2 linked regions of the Caenorhabditis elegans genome follow. The protein of the gene in region 1 interacts with the protein of each later gene in a pairwise test. Each region holds a gene or a part of one and is shown on either strand. Other genes may lie near its edges.

Region 1 (7,937 bases):
GTATTCAGTGCTCACTCACTTACAACAATATCTATCGCCATTAAGAATCCTAGCATTTGGGAAGTTGGCATGACCTCAATTGGTCATTTCTTTGTGAACACCGAAATGGTATTGACTTGGGGGAAGTTGGTCTGACCCTTTCCCCTGCCAGTTAATTGTAGACAAAGAAGACATATGTTGGGTGAGACTAGAACAGTAGGTGACAGTGGGATAATTAACGAAAGAAAGAATGTTGGGAAAACTGGATGATCTTCTCAAAAATTGTATTTCAGGTTTGCATTGGCTACGTGGAAAATAAAGAGTTTGGAGTATCACCTGAATTTGTATCATCTGGACACTTTGAAATTGATATAGCTGGAAAAAGGTTCACATGCCGTCTCAACGTTCATTCACCTTCACTTCCAATGATATCCAGCGAGCATCCACTTCACTACAGACCGACTCAATGATTGCTTCTTGCCATCTTAGTGAACATATTTAGACAACTTAGCTGAATCCAGATGTTGAATTTAGAATTCAATTTCCTACTTTGTACTTTTTTTCTTTTTTGTTTCTCAATCTCGATGCCATATTGGTTGTACGATAATTGTAATTGTGACTTCATCCACCCAGTGTCTGCTCCCCCTCACATACTTCATAATAAATAGACATTCTGCACCCTCTATGCTTCTCACAATCCCTGCAACAGCACGCAACGCCGCACCGCACGCGTCGCACCGATCAATTTTCGACGTCCTGCGACGACGCGACCATTTTTTAAAGACTTGTTTTAAAGACTTTTAAAGACTTCGAGCTGAACTTTTCAAAATGCTTCGACTTTTCAATTGAAGTGATAGATATTAAAAATAATTAGAAAGCTTCAATAATTACGAATATCCAAATAGGAGAGATTTGTCTAAATTAATAGTTTAAAAATATAATCTCACAAAGTTTATACAAAAACTATGAACTAAAACTAGTTTAGATAGCTGTCTCTTTCGATCATCAACATCGTCAGTTTTTTGAAAATATTCTTAGTTTATCGAGCAATGGACCAATGGAGTCACCAAAATCATCAGGGCCATCAAAGTCAGTCTACTTCTACCGGTCCTACACCACATTCTCACATGACACATGTTGTTCCTCAGGTATGTAGGTGTGCAACTAAATAACACTGAAATTCACAACAAATTCAGCAAAAAGAAGAGGTTCAGTACATGATGCGTCAAGTAACAGATAGTGTTAGATTTGCAATGTGTGAAGCAATTGCACACAGACCGGGTCTTTGGGATTCAACACGAGAAAAAGTGAGCTCGGCAGCACGGAAAAATCTCTTTGCTGAAGTTGTTGAGGTGATTAATCAACAGTTCGTGTTGAGCCCTCCGCTCACAAGTAAGTTATCATTTCTACTTCAGTTATAATTGGTTTTTTTCCAGTCGAAGAAATCGAAAAGCATTGGAAAAATCTGAAAGACACATACGTGAAAACTCGACGGAAGTTAACATTTGATCATGATGGATGCCCTATACGACCGAAATGGAAGTTTTTTGATTCGCTCATGTTCCTGGACAGTGTGAATCAAAACGATTTTGTGATGAAAAAACGTCCGATGCAATTCCAGGGACAGCCGTACGATTTATACCAAGGTCCCTCTTCTAAGAAAGAGAAACTAGAAGAAATGCCATCTGACGAGTACATGGAATTCTGTCGATCGTTGTACCTCCCATTGAAAGAAATAGGATACAAGGATCGCATACACTGGCTGAAGATCCAAAAGTCCATCCGTGACATCGTTTACGAAGCGCAACTGGAAAGTGTTACTAAAGCCGCACCTGATTTGCAATAAACAATTTGTGTTAAAAATACTGATTCTAAACTGTTTTCAACAATTTATTGTAACAATAACAAACAGCTTATGCGCTCTCAGATGGAACGCTGAGGATGATGTCGGAGTCTCCGGCATCAGTGACTGCAAGGGTGCACACACGGAAGAGACGTCCACAGGCGGTTCCGAGCTCAATGTTGTTTCCGTTGTAGTGGTGAACTCCAGTTTTGGCGAGCATGGCGTAGTACTCAATCTCGGACTTTCTGAAAATTAATCATGAGTTAATAAAAATCCGAAATGATAAATATTGATTTACCTGAGTGGTGGAGTGTTGTTGGCAATGATGACAAGCTTAGCCTTTCCGTTGAGAAGGGATTTGAGAGTCTGCTTGTATCCGAGGACGTATTGTCCAGTCTTCATGACCATGGAGAGTCGGGAGTTGATGTTCTCAGCATTTTTCTTGACCTAAACGAATATATGGATCATCAGGCGTTCGAATATTGGAGAATTCGCGAGCGCTTACATTGAGCACCCGAAGCCCGTGACAGAATGAGCGGGGAAGCTACTCCTTCTCAATTAAATCACCCGAGCTCCGGATTACTCCATCGCTGCTCGAAAATTTAACTCCAGAGAAACTTCACTAACCTGTGGCTTAGCAGCTGGAGCCATGATGATTTACCTGAAAATAGAAAAAATAACTGCGTGAACTTCTAATTTGAGCCACGTAAATAGAGCAAAAGAAGGACGGCACATTAAAAAACAAATAACTTCAAAACGTCTTTACGAAAGCGATCATCCGTACTACTTCAGAAAATTTCAACGTCTCAAAAAATAAGTGGTAAGAAATTCAATTTATAATAGTTTACAGCTTGAAGAATTATATAAAAAGGCGTTTATCTGTTGAAAGTTTGCAACTAAAAAACAGAAATAAGTCGAATAAACTAAAATTTGGTTTCAAAAACATAATTTTCTGCAAAAAAGAAACGAAACAGCGAAAAGTATCAGATTTTGGGCCAGAAATAGGGGCAAAGCAGCGATAACTACGGTTCGCGATGCATTTCGTGGCGAGACCCATCGGCACATTCCCTCCTCCCTTGAAACACTAGTGTGTCTTTTTCCGGTTTTTGGGATCCGAGTTCTCCTGGCTCTGAGCAAAAGGACAGTAAATCCCAATTTAAACTGCTCAAAAACCCATAAAAATTTAAAAAACCCTAAAAATCACCAAAAAAATTATTCTTTGGACGATCCGACACCAAAACGTGAGTTTTATTGATTTTTCCTATTTCGTAATTCGAACCGTTACTTGTTTCCGTGCTAAATTGTTTTCTATGATTATTTGGGAAGGACATATAGTTTTCTGTCTCTTTTTGTTGAATAACAAGTAATTTTTTACCGATACGAATAATTGCTGCGTGTTTCCCGATCGATACTTCCCAGGTCCCGAGATGTGAGCGTTTATTAGACAATTAGGCTAACTCCGCCCTTTCTGCTATTCTTAGCGTACTATCGTCATTTGCTCTTTAGTTGTAGGTAGGCAGACACTACATTAACCCGCGGTCTGGCTAGACGTCGCCTGACTTCCTCGCTAGACGTTGTTCCGTGACCCAACTCCTCACCCATAATAAAAAAGTACGGAAATACGTGACGGTCACTAAAATATTACTTCTATTCTATTTATTCAATCTTCAATTCAGTAAAATCATGGAAATGAACGTCGCTGCTCCCGCTGCCGCCGTTGCTGGCGCTGCTGCTCCTCAACCAGGCCAAAATCAGACCGGCTCGTCGTACACCATGGCTTCGCTCTACGTCGGAGACCTCCACCCGGACGTCAACGAGTCGATCCTGTTCGAGAAGTTCAGCGCTGCCGGCCCTGTTCTTTCTATTCGTGTCTGCAGAGACAATGCCACTCGTCTCTCATTGGGCTATGCCTACGTCAACTTCCAACAACCAGCTGATGGTTTGTTTGTCTCCAAATTCACTTCAATCTTTAATTCAATTCAATTTTCAGCTGAACGTGCCATGGACACCATGAACTTCGAGGCTCTTCACGGCAAACCAATGAGAATCATGTGGTCTCAAAGAGATCCAGCTATGCGTCGTTCGGGAGCTGGCAATATCTTCATCAAGAACCTCGATAAGGTCATCGACAACAAGTCAATCTACGATACCTTCTCCCTGTTCGGAAACATTCTCTCCTGCAAGGTAACGTTTTCTTTAGAGCATTGCCAAACCGCCTTCAATTTATGTTGTACAGGTTGCTATCGACGAGGACGGATTCAGCAAAGGCTACGGTTTCGTTCACTTCGAGACCGAGGAAGCTGCCCAAAATGCTATCCAAAAAGTCAATGGCATGCTTCTGGCCGGGAAGAAGGTTTTCGTTGGCAAATTCCAGCCACGTGCTCAACGCAATCGCGAGCTTGGAGAGACTGCCAAACAGTTCACCAATGTCTACGTGAAGAACTTTGGAGATCACTACAACAAGGAAACCCTTGAGAAGCTCTTCGCCAAGTTCGGAAACATTACCAGCTGCGAAGTCATGACTGTCGAGGGAAAGTCCAAGGGATTCGGATTTGTTGCTTTTGCTAATCCAGAAGAGGCCGAGACTGCTGTGCAAGCTCTTCACGATTCAACCATCGAGGGAACTGACTTGAAACTTCATGTCTGCCGTGCCCAAAAGAAGTCTGAGAGACACGCTGAATTGAAAAAGAAGCACGAGCAACACAAGGCTGAGCGTATGCAGAAGTATCAAGGAGTCAATCTCTACGTCAAAAACCTCGACGAGACTGTCGATGATGATGGCTTGAAGAAGCAATTCGAGTCTTACGGAAACATCACGAGTGCTAAGGTTGGTAAACTTTTTCAAAATGCTATCATATACATAATATTTTTAGGTCATGACTGACGAAAATGGGAGATCAAAGGGATTCGGTTTTGTCTGCTTCGAAAAGCCGGAGGAAGCTACAAGTGCAGTGACTGAGATGAACTCAAAAATGGTGTGCTCAAAGCCATTGTATGTGGCTATTGCTCAACGTAAAGAAGATCGTCGTGCACAGCTTGCTTCTCAATACATGCAACGTCTTGCAAGCATGAGAATGCACGGCAACGTTCCAGGAGCAGCCATGTACAACCCAACACAGCCAGGACCAGGATACTATGTTGCTAATCCGATGCAACAGGTTAGTTTTTTGTTGTTTTTTTTGTAATGCTCGAATTTATTATTTCAGCAGCGCAACTTCGCCGGTGGACAACAGATGGTTCGCCCAGGAGGTCGCTGGGGAATGCAAAATCAGTACCCAGTCCAAAATCAGTACATGATGGCTCAAGGCCCAGGTGTCTACCAAAACCGCATGGGACGTCCACAGAACCAACAAGGAGGACCACGCGGTCCACCACAGCAGTACAATCAAGTCGCTCAAGGAGGCGTCCGCATGCAGGGACCACCACGCACCCAAAATCCTGGAGTCCAACAGCAAAACGTTCCACGTCCACCACAGCAACAACAGCAGCAAAGACCAGCTCCAACCGGACCAAAGGCTCCACCACAGCCATATCAGGCATACCAGCAAAGACCACAAGGAATCGTTATTGGAGGACAAGAGCCACTCACATCTGCAATGTTGGCCGCTGCTGCTCCTCAGGTAAGCTTACTTTGTTTTGCAATACTTAATTTCATGATACATCTTTTCAGGAGCAAAAGCAACTTCTTGGTGAGCGTATCTACGCTCTCATTGAGAAACTCTACCCGGGACACAAGGACGCAGGAAAAATCACAGGAATGATGCTCGAAATCGACAATTCCGAGTTGATCATGATGCTTCAAGATAGTGAATTGTTCCGCTCGAAGGTCGACGAAGCTGCATCGGTTCTCGTTTCCGCTCAGAAGCAATAAGTTCATTGCCAAGTGCTCTTAGCACGTTCCCCCAGTTGCTAAGCATACCCATCTCCTGTTTTTTTTTCTTACTGTCACCCTTCTTTTTGTTACTTGTTAGTGGTTGGTTTAGCCGCCCCACACCCCACCCCTTGAGTAAGCTCACTTTTGTGATGTTTATTCACGTTAAAATAAAATCATAAAAATAATCAATGTTAATGGGCAAGTTATAGAAAAAAAAGAAGCAATGTTACACAGATGCCCTTCGCAAACGCATTCGACACCTTCCATCTCATCCCACAAAACAGCTTTTCTACACCCAATAGGAGAATCGGATGGAACGCAAATTCGTTGTTCACGTATCAAACCATCTGAAATTCGAAGCTGACTGCAATTGTATAATAATTAACTCACTAGTCATGGGCGCTGTTCGTCTCGAACATTTCGGACCAACACATGTTGAACCATCGAAATCACAATAACCTTGAAATGAATCGCAAACGAAACATTGCGTTGAAATTGTTATAGGAATTAATATTAAACAAAATGCTACACTTCGTTTCATCGTGAACATTTAGTAAAATGAGTTAAGTTTTGGTATCCGGTGAGAGTAAACATTTACTACTTGAACACAGGAATTCGACTACTGTTCGTGACTCTAGAGACTATTAATATTGGAGAAAGGAAAGTCAGCGTTTTGTTTAAAGACACAAAATATAAAAGAAGAATCAGCAAAGTAAAAAGTTTATAAAAATTAAATTATGCAATTATAAGAAAACGTCTAAAGTTCATCGTGAAGGTTTCTTTTCTCGAATTCCATATGATAGTCTTTCTTTTCTTTTTTCACTTTCGTTTGTCGAATATTTAAAAATGCATCTGCTTGCTCCGGTCTATCTGGAATTTGACTACAAAGCCAACGAGTTTGTGGAGTATCTTTGAAATCTGTAATAATGGTTTCGTTTATATTTTTATCTTTAGTTGAGAAAAACTCACACTCTTGACAAAGTTCTCGTAGACAATGAAGTGCATTTGGCTGCTCATTGAGCTCACACCATTGAAGCTCCAAACTGCAAAATCTTTCGGGTCTAGTGATAACTGTTGCAACGTCGATAAGCTGATAAAACTTCTTTTTCATCACATTCTGGCATCCGTCATAAGTAAATCCATGCGGGAAAAGTGGAATATCTAATCCCTGGAATGCGAGACAAAGTTCAGCACACAAATTGTGGAAAAGGTTTCCGCGGAGCCAATAGTAAGTCTGATCAAGCATGGCTGGTTGAAGGAAGATCTTATGTTGAAGCACATTTGTGATGGACATACAGGCGGTACATTCCAGGCAGACTACTGATTCGGTCAGGTTTAGAACTGAAATTGAAAATTATTCCACGTTGCGAAATTTTTTGTGGTTCTGCTTAAAAACTCTCGCCACGAACAAAATATTCTCGAATCAAGACTGTAGGTGTGCGCCTTTATTCTACAGTAACTCAATTCGAAAATTATTTCGATTTTTTTAAACGTTTTTTCTCTTGTTAAATCAGGAAATTCTCTGAAAACGTGCTAAATCGTACAAAATTCTGAAAAATGTGAAGTCTTCGTGGTGAGACCAAATTTTTGAATGGAACATCGGTAAACTTCACAACAACTGTGTAATAATGTATTTTTAAAGTGATGTTTCGAAAGCATAACACTGGAAAAATGTGATTGATGCAAAACACATTTTTGTTTTAAACTTTAATTTCCAAATATATGATTTTAATATTTTTTGGGAGATTTTTCGAACTTTGGGTTTAAAAAAAATCTGAAATCTAGTTTTAAACGTTTTAATTAGAAAAAAGTTAAAATTTTAGAACATCTGCTGAATTTTTCATGAAGGATCTTCTTCGTGAAGTTTATAATTTTTTTTTTCAATAATTTTTTTCTAGAAAAATAATTTCAAAAACTGAATAAAAAATCGAAAAATAGTTTCAATTTCTATCGGATTTCTCTTACCCCTCGCTGCATAATCGTCATCACATCCCGGCGCAATAGCTGTACAAATTGCTTTTGGCTTTGGAAAATGATTGTAGAGAAGATGTGAAATATGGTATTCATCATCAGTAATCAGAAGGCTATTTGGTTTCAATACTTTTGAATGAATTTCTTCGGCAAATCTATGACAAAGTGAACAGAATGGTCCTGGATGAGCAGTAGCAAGTGTGGAGAAGTATCCGAAAAGTTGATCTTCGGTGATGGAGTTAAGATCGGTGATTTGATTATTACAAACTT
Region 2 (8,339 bases), on another chromosome or scaffold:
GTTCGTAAAGGTAATAGTATTAGGACAGAAATTCAAAAATGGTGTGCTCATTCAGGTACGCTTGCTCACTCTGCATTAACGTACTATGGTGCATCTCCTTAAAAATATAAACTAGAAATAAATTAAATATACATCGTGGTGAGCAGTTAAGAATTTTCGGGTACTTGATTAAACCTGATGTACAGTGTTTTTCTTAAGAGTATTCATCTAAAACTGTACTCTTTGAAAAATATATTGCGTTAGCTAATAATAGGACAAATACGGTAATTCGATAAACTTTTAAAAAAACCTTTTCTGAAACATGAAAAATGTATTGTATAAATTTCAATGTGTTAACACATGGAACAGCAAAAGTGGGCAATTGCCACGTTTTGAGATTATTAACAATTTTACCAAAATAAGCTCATCGCTTTTACTTTTCCATGAAGTCAATTCAGTTTGTATAATTGCTAGAAATAAATACCGTATTCTTTGTATGTATTATTACTCTTACTACTTTATTTACAATTTATTTACTTGTTAGATTTCTCATATTTTATATGTGTTTGGCTTAACCGAATATTAGAGGATAAAATATAGATAAAGATGTATTTCAATATGTTATAATTTACTTGAAAACAATGGAGATATAAAATGCAAGTATGGAACGATGTCAGTTTAATACATAATTACAGAGAGACTACTGTATGTCTTCTGATTTGAACTAAAATTTAGTATTTATTTAAAAAAACTGAAAACTTATTCCGCTCTATTGATGGCTTCCACTCAAACAAAAAATGCCTACTTGCGTACCTATGAGGTAGGTAATATTTGCAACCATATGTAGGTCGTCTCCAAGAAAGATATTGCTCGGATATACAGCTGGACATAACTATGGAGACATAACTACGCTCTTGTATGTACATACCACTAAAAAAATTCAAATTTTGCTCACTATGAGATCGAGTTTTTGTGCGCACAACTCGGGTGCTCATAATTGTCGGCCAACTACGTAGTTGGATGCGTATAGATATTATATTGAACATAGTCTAACATAAGTTCCTATTATTTTCAAGAGTCCATTTTGTTCCACTCAACCCATCAATTCTGACACCATACTCCACAACCACACCCCAATCGGAAGTCTCCGAGACGGCATATGGGTTACATTTTCAGCGAAAAATTTCAACTGAACACGTCATCATCATTGTCGACCTTGCTCTTTCAGCTGATAACAGTCGTGTATTTCAAACACGTACACAAAAGTCACAAATTTTTTTCGAAAAAAAGCGGAATGCATCGAAATGAAGTGCGGGGGAGGGGCGGGAATATGGGCGGTGCTTGTGTTTCCAATTACAAACATGGAAGAAATGATAAGGAACGAAAAAGTGGGTGTCCCCCTGATGCAAATGTATAAAAGAGTTATCATCATTCAAATTTCAGTCCACATTTCATTCCTGAAAAATGACAACAATGACTAATTCTCTTATTTCTAATTCAGTTTCCTCTGTTCCTGAATCTCTATTCTCATCAGCTTCAATTCATCGTCCAGTTGCTATTAATCCAGCAATGCTTGCTCAATTCAGCATCAATCTGCCTGTTTTGCCATTTGAAAGTTCTGCTTCTTTGGGAACATCTACCACATCCAGCTCGGTAAGCATATCATATTTTCTCAAAATCTTGTAATATTATTTGTATTTTCAGAGATGCTCTTCAACTGAAAGTTCTGCTGCTCCTGGTAAAATCCGTCGTGGTCGACCACAACAAGAAATTGCAGATGGACAAGATGCTCACAGTCAAAAGAAGCGTCATCGCCGTCTTTATGCTCGCCAGTACCGTGCTCAAATGCGCCAAAAGGTGGAGAATGTGAAAAGTCTTCATGATGAGAAGGAGCAACTCGAGTTGGAAGTAAAAGCTCTCCGGCAAGCAGTTAGTGGTCTTCAACAAGAAAATGCTCAAAAAGATTTCTTGATCAGTATTTTGCAACTCAATAATCAAATCAACCATTCCTAAGAACATCTTCAATATTCCCCTCTCCCGAATCCTCTTTGCCATAATTTTTCAAATTCGCTCATTCTTTGCTGACATAATTTGGTCTTCTTTCGAAATGTTATTAATAAAAATTGACACGGTTTTGATTCATCTTTGTGCAAACATCCAACTACAGAAGAGTTACAGAGATTCTTTCCAAAAAAGAAGTTGAGAAAAAATAACAGAAAACAAATAAAAAATATATTAAAATTAGTCGCGTCGAGACCTCTTTGATTCTCCACGGGAGTCTCCACCATCCCCACCTCGTTTCTTTTCTTTGGTGTGCTCGAAAAGTGATGACAATCCGAAAACATCTTGATCCTTCTCGAACTGAAATAAAAAGGTTAACATTTTGTAGTGATTCATAAATGCACAGTGACATTTAATGTTTTATGACTCATTGATAAGTAAATTTTAGAAGTAGTCACAGTCATTTTAAGAGCATCTTTTATGCAATTTCCTTATGAAATCTTTAGAAATTAGGTTTCAAAAAAATAATTCAGTAAATACATATATTTCTGAATACTACGGGTCCACACACTCAATTTCGCAGATGGAATTTTCTAAATTTCAATAACGTTCGATTCACAGTTAAACTCAATGCGTATAAACTATTTCGTTGGAATCAAATGCACTTTGACCAGATTATAGCATTTTCTACGCGTTCTGCAACAATTCGATCGTCACACGCAAACATGCCAAATCGGCCGCCATCGTGTCTGTCCTGTAATTCTAGACGATTCCGCATCGTCATCATTTTCTTGATAAGTTTATAATAAACTTTGTAAGAAATTTCGAAACTATGCCATGCACAATCACGATTCGGAAATATTGTCATGAAATATACTAGAATTATCATTGTCATTCTTAAAATGGCATGAAAATCGTATTTTCTGTCATCATCATCATCTAATGTTTTGCCCTTTGAACGCTGCTTGAACCAATTTATAAATCGACACGGATGATCGTTGGCTTATCCGCTTACTGCTTATCACTCAGTTTAGATGTTAGTCTACAATTAACACCATTTCGCCGAAAAAGTTTACCCAGCTCCCCGAGTTCGCTGCAAACAATTCCGGAAAAAAAATACGTTTCCTGTTCAAATCTAAACTATGAACATGGTTTAAACATTTGAAAAATTGGTGTTTTCAATATAGTAAATGCCAAATTTTTCAAAAATTTCAATTTTTTGATAAATTTCGATTATTTCTACAGGTTCGATCCCTAGAATTTCCAAATACGAATAAATACTATAAAAACTGGGAGGACAACTGTTTATTTCGTCCACTTTCATAATAAGCGAAAACTAAAACTAAGATTTTTTTGTTAAAAAATGCAATACGTATTTTTAACTACAATGCCACTTTGAGAGTGAAATTTTGATTTGAGCTGTTTCATTTACACGTATATTCGGAGCAAAAAGTTATCATTTCCTAAAAATAGACCGAAATATAGTCAACACCGCTCTAGTTCTGTCTAGTATTTCAGTCATTTCAACTTTTAGAGTAAATCACATGTTGGTTCTAATGCTTCTGGCTTGTTGGTGATAAGACGTGATATTTCGTAAGTACTGATAGTGATTGGGTTATGAAAGATGCTCGCAAACACCAGCCTCCGTAGACACAACTCGATAAAATGCTGATCGTTCAGCTCGAAATGTGACTAGAAACAGTAAAGTAATTTAATACATTTTATGTGTTAAACTGAAGAGAATCTGCATCCCGAACTTAAGTAAAAAGAAAAGCTAATCGGCTATGATAGAAAAGATATAATTAGTTTTTGTTCAATAAGCTCTGAGCATTGTATAAAACTACAATATTGATGAATCCATAATTATTTATTATAACTCTAATTAGAATATCTAAAATTGGTTAACTTTTACAATCAAATTAATCGTGAGTTAAAATACATCAATAGTTCATTTCGACCATAAAGAGAATGGATGAAAACTGAACTTTGACATATTTTAATTATTTTAATCTTATTTTATCAATAATGTCAAACATATTACGCACGACAATTGAAGCTCATAAACCAAGAATGTAAAGAATCTTTTCTACTTCCAAAACACACTGCTGTGCGTGTCTTTTCGGAATGACGTAAATTAATGATCCATTTATGATAATGACCGCACAAATCAACGAATTGGTTCAATTCGTCGTTACTTATCAGTCAATTTTTGACGCTCATCAACAACGAGCCAGCGCCCAAATTCTCAAAATTCCCAGCTATTTTAGTAACGTAGTTAAAATTTCTGACAACAGATCAACTGACTAACCTGAACAGGTCCAGATCCACGACTCGAGCCCTCTGCTCCTGAAAATCCTTTATCAGCTACAAACCGATTCTTCTGTTCGATGATCTTGTCCAAATCGCCACCATAAACATCGTTGTCGAGATTTTTGCCTGCAAAAGTTTTATAAATCGTCATTTCTTCCTGTTTTGACAAAAATACAATTATTTTCGAAATTCGTATTTGCATAACGTCATTTTAATCGTAATGACTGCAGTACTACAAACGTCTTATCAAATACTAGGCACCTAAGTTGTGATTCTATTTTTAACGACAAATGAACCAGAACGGACATGAAAGTCAAATACATCAGTATCATCAAAGAGTTTTGTGAATTCCAACACCAATGAATTAGAAAAACAATAAATTTTAGAATGTCACAAATTCCTCAGTTCAGACATACATTAGGAAATCATTTCAATTTTGAAATATTAAAGAACTAACGGTTCTAGTTATTTTTGAACGTTTAGATTTTTATGGCGGTTCGAAATTTAGAAAAAATGAATCAATTTTGGCGAATTTTTCGTGTCGCAGAGGTTCAAAAATGATTTTTTTTGAATTATAATCTTTTTTTAAATTTTAATATCACGTAATATCGTCAATTGAGGTACTTTTTAAGCAAACATAGGTAATCAATTTCGGTAACCTTTCGATTTTAAATGTACCTTAGAATAGCATAAGATAAACTGCCAAAATAAGATTTCAGCTAAAATAATGTTTTTTTTTGAAATTTTAAAACGCCATAAAACTTTTTTTTTGAAAAACTTCTGGAACGTTTCATTATGAAATTCGTTCATTTTAGAGCATTGTGGGTATATATATATATATACATTCAAAATACCTAGACCCGTTACTAATTTTAATTTATATTTGAAAATAAGCAAGAAAAACTAACTCGGTCGATAAACGTGCTGTTGAACACTGTCACCGCCACGCCACGCAGCATCATAAGGATTGTAAGTATCATCGTCCATTGCTCCACTGTCGAGTCCCTGAAAAATAAATATATTAGTTAAATTTTATCGAAGAAGGAACTGAAACCTGGGTTTTATCAAACAATCTTTGATCGAACTGTGGTTCGCCAGTTCGTTTCTGATTCGTGTCCGGCAAACCAAGCACAATTTTCTCCGAAATATCTCTTTCACGCTCTTTGCGAAGCTTGTCAGCTTTATCTGGTCGTGAACGAGCAATATTTCTTTCTTTCCTGATATCGTCGAGACGATCACGTCGAATTTCTTCGCGAACTTTGACTTGTTCATCATCTTCATCGTCCTTTCTCCGCATCGCTGATCTTTCCTGGCGGGCTTTTGCTGCGGCTTCTGCCATTTTAGCCTCTTGCTCAGACTTCTTATTTTGAGCAACGCGTCTTTCAAGCTGAGCACGTGTCTCAACCTCTTCACGAGCTTTTCTATCAGCAATGTACAAAGCATCAGCAAGCTTCGCAAAGTTTTCATTAATATGAGTCTGTTGGAGACCACGTCCATCAGCAGCCAATCGTTTGTCCAACCCAACTGTGAATCCTTTTGGATTTTTCCAATTTGAAATACATGGTGGAATCTTCCAATCGTTTTGATCTTTAGCTGTCATTTTTCTTGGAGGAGAATGCATGACTGGTGCCGGTGGAGATGGTGGTGCTCTAGGAATCTTCTGATTGATTTTGAACTTTGGTGGTTCCATCGGATCTTTTTGTTCTTCAACCATTCTGATGATGCGCTGTTGTGATCCAGCAGCTCCATTCTGCTGACTTGGAGTGTATCTGATATATTGAGCAGGTGCTAACTTGTCGGCATGACGAACAGGAAGTGCTGAGGCTACTTTTGAATTTACGATTTTTTCCAAAGCCATTCTTGTCTTCTCCGTAGCATCGATAACAGCGTCATCGTCTGGTTTCTGAATATCATCATCATCCTCGTTCCACGTCTTGGCTTTCATATCATTAAGCTTGGAGTAGACAACTTTATCCTTAACATGTCCGATACGAGCAATAGCATCGTGTTGTAACTTTCCATCAGTTCCATATTGCAAGGCGAGCGTATTTTCTGGCTTTCCTCTCATATCTCCAAGACCTAATCCGAGAGGAAACTGAGCAACGTGAATTTCAGGGAACGCTCCGCCATCGCCAAAATCCTGGAAAAGAAAAATTAAGAAGAATATTAATATTTTCAATCTCACTTCAGGCCCTCTTGGTCGAAAACTGGTCCGTTTTCCGTACGGCGGTGGTTCCTTCGATACGAGTGCGGCGGATGGTTCGTTATCGCGCCCACCAAACCAAGGATCTCGTCGAATCTGTGAAGCTGCTTCGTCTGCCGCCACAGGAGCAGGAAGGATACTAAAAAACATTGGTTTTACATGATAATCAGTGAAATACACTCACTCTCGTAGTTTCATCGACATCCTGATGAAATACTGTCCTGAAATTGTTTTTTTAGACAAAAAAAGAATCAAATACAAAACTGGAAGATATTGTAGTGCCGATGAAACACAAGTTATAATTTCAAAACAAAAACATTGAATGAATAATAAAATAATGAATTAAGTGTTTATTGAACAGTGATTAAATCGAGTATATGAGATCAAATCAATAATTGGATAAGTTGCAGTAAGTGATGTAGAAAAATTATTTGCCGCGGCGGCTGTTAGATTTTGTTGTCGATGCTGTGTTCGGTACTTTTTTCAGCTGATCGAAGAGAGCATCAGAAGAAGAATGATTAGACAAATTATTTATCATCATCTCATGCTCAAAGAGTTTAGTCATAATCATGGCGGTTTGTGAGAGACGAACGGTATCGTTAATAGTTAATTCCGAGTCATCGAGCTTTCCAATCCGTACAAACTCGCACGGTTCATCACGTTTCGTGTGCTCGTACCACGGATCGTCTTCTGGGTCAAAATCAAGTTCCTTGTTGCAAAATGCACATTTGCCAGACTGAGGACCGGTGCAGTAAAATCCGGCTTGAGCAACCTAAAACAAGAATAATTTTATTTAAAACACGAAAATGGACAAACCGCTTGAGACGTGCATTTTGCATCCGGGTCTCTATCATATTCGAAATTTTTGAATGTCATCAAGCGATCTTTGTAGAATGTGAATTTTGCCATATCCGACTTTTTTTTGGTCCCGGGTGCCATTTTCTGAAATCAATGAAAAACAACTAGGTATCTTAATCTTGAGGAATCTATTTCGAACAGGTAGAGATTAAAAATTCGAAATACAGTTAAGAAGATTTGAACTAAAAACCACAATTCCAAAAAAATAAGTTGAAAGCGTTGAAATCGATTGATAAAAGGAAAAGATAAAACGAGACTTACATTGAAAATAATAAAACTTCGTGGCGTATTTTAATAGATTTCGAAAATGAAGTTTAATTTCATGAAATTCGCGCATCCACGCCACGTGGTTTTATTTTTTCAGTGTGTATTTAAATATAAATGAAAAACAAATCTCAGAAAACATTTATCGAATAAAATGTTGAAAAATCAATAAATGTAGCTCGCGTCGCACTGACGAATTTCGCGCTGAAATATACAGCCACCAAGAAAGCTAGGCCACGGCCATTGGTCAGTAGAGCGCACGTGCGCGCGTACCAAAACCTCCAAGAAGACAGGAAACTCAATGAGTTTGTTGAAAACTAAACAAATTAACAATAACTTTGATTCAATGGAAAAAGATTCTATTAACTTTTTAACCGGACGGTGTCGATCGAGCCTGCGGCTCAACCTCTCTCAACTGGCTAAAACTGAAATTTACCGTATTTCCTCTATTAAATAGTTAGGCACCTCTATTAGTTTTGCACCTCCATTAGTTTTGCATCTAAAATCACTAATCGAAAATTAGTTTTGCACGCTCTATTAGTTTTGCACCTCTAATAGTTTTGCACCCCTCCATTTGTTCCCTATTTTTAGGAATTTAAAATTTGCATTATAAAATCGTTCTAAAAATTAGGAAAACTCTTACAGACTTGGTATAACAAGTCAAAATTGGCAAAATATGAGTACAATTCGGACAATTTTTGCGTATCAGTCGTAAAATTCGTCC

The links. Proteins that work in one complex are often made in the same cells at the same time.
Region 2: the proteins of pab-1 (region 1) and skp-1 interact in a two-hybrid assay, tested with the Caenorhabditis elegans proteins (one study listed by BioGRID).

The regions. Positions count from the first base shown.
Region 1 is NC_003279.8:10,430,800-10,438,736, reverse strand, and holds pab-1 (Polyadenylate-binding protein), read left to right. Parts: upstream 1-3,498; 5' UTR 3,499-3,505; coding exon 3,506-3,761; intron 3,762-3,812; coding exon 3,813-4,006; intron 4,007-4,058; coding exon 4,059-4,649; intron 4,650-4,695; coding exon 4,696-4,980; intron 4,981-5,028; coding exon 5,029-5,442; intron 5,443-5,492; coding exon 5,493-5,693; 3' UTR 5,694-5,876; downstream 5,877-7,937. Other genes in the region: pdpr-1 (DAO domain-containing protein), read left to right, coding at 273-449; madf-10 (MADF domain-containing protein), read left to right, coding at 1,029-1,127, 1,176-1,371, 1,416-1,825; rpl-30 (Large ribosomal subunit protein eL30), read right to left, coding at 1,893-2,067, 2,121-2,269, 2,450-2,473; Y106G6H.1 (Saposin B-type domain-containing protein), read right to left, coding at 6,454-6,614, 6,666-7,037, 7,662-7,937.
Region 2 is NC_003283.11:11,643,856-11,652,194, reverse strand, and holds skp-1 (mammalian SKIP (Ski interacting protein) homolog), read right to left. Parts: upstream 6,715-8,339; 5' UTR 6,698-6,714; coding exon 6,678-6,697; intron 6,633-6,677; coding exon 6,476-6,632; intron 6,431-6,475; coding exon 5,345-6,430; intron 5,296-5,344; coding exon 5,199-5,295; intron 4,417-5,198; coding exon 4,289-4,416; intron 2,341-4,288; coding exon 2,221-2,340; 3' UTR 2,105-2,220; downstream 1-2,104. Other genes in the region: Transcription factor zip-10, read left to right, coding at 1,444-1,632, 1,684-1,992; Chromosomal passenger complex protein bir-1, read right to left, coding at 6,921-7,265, 7,310-7,432.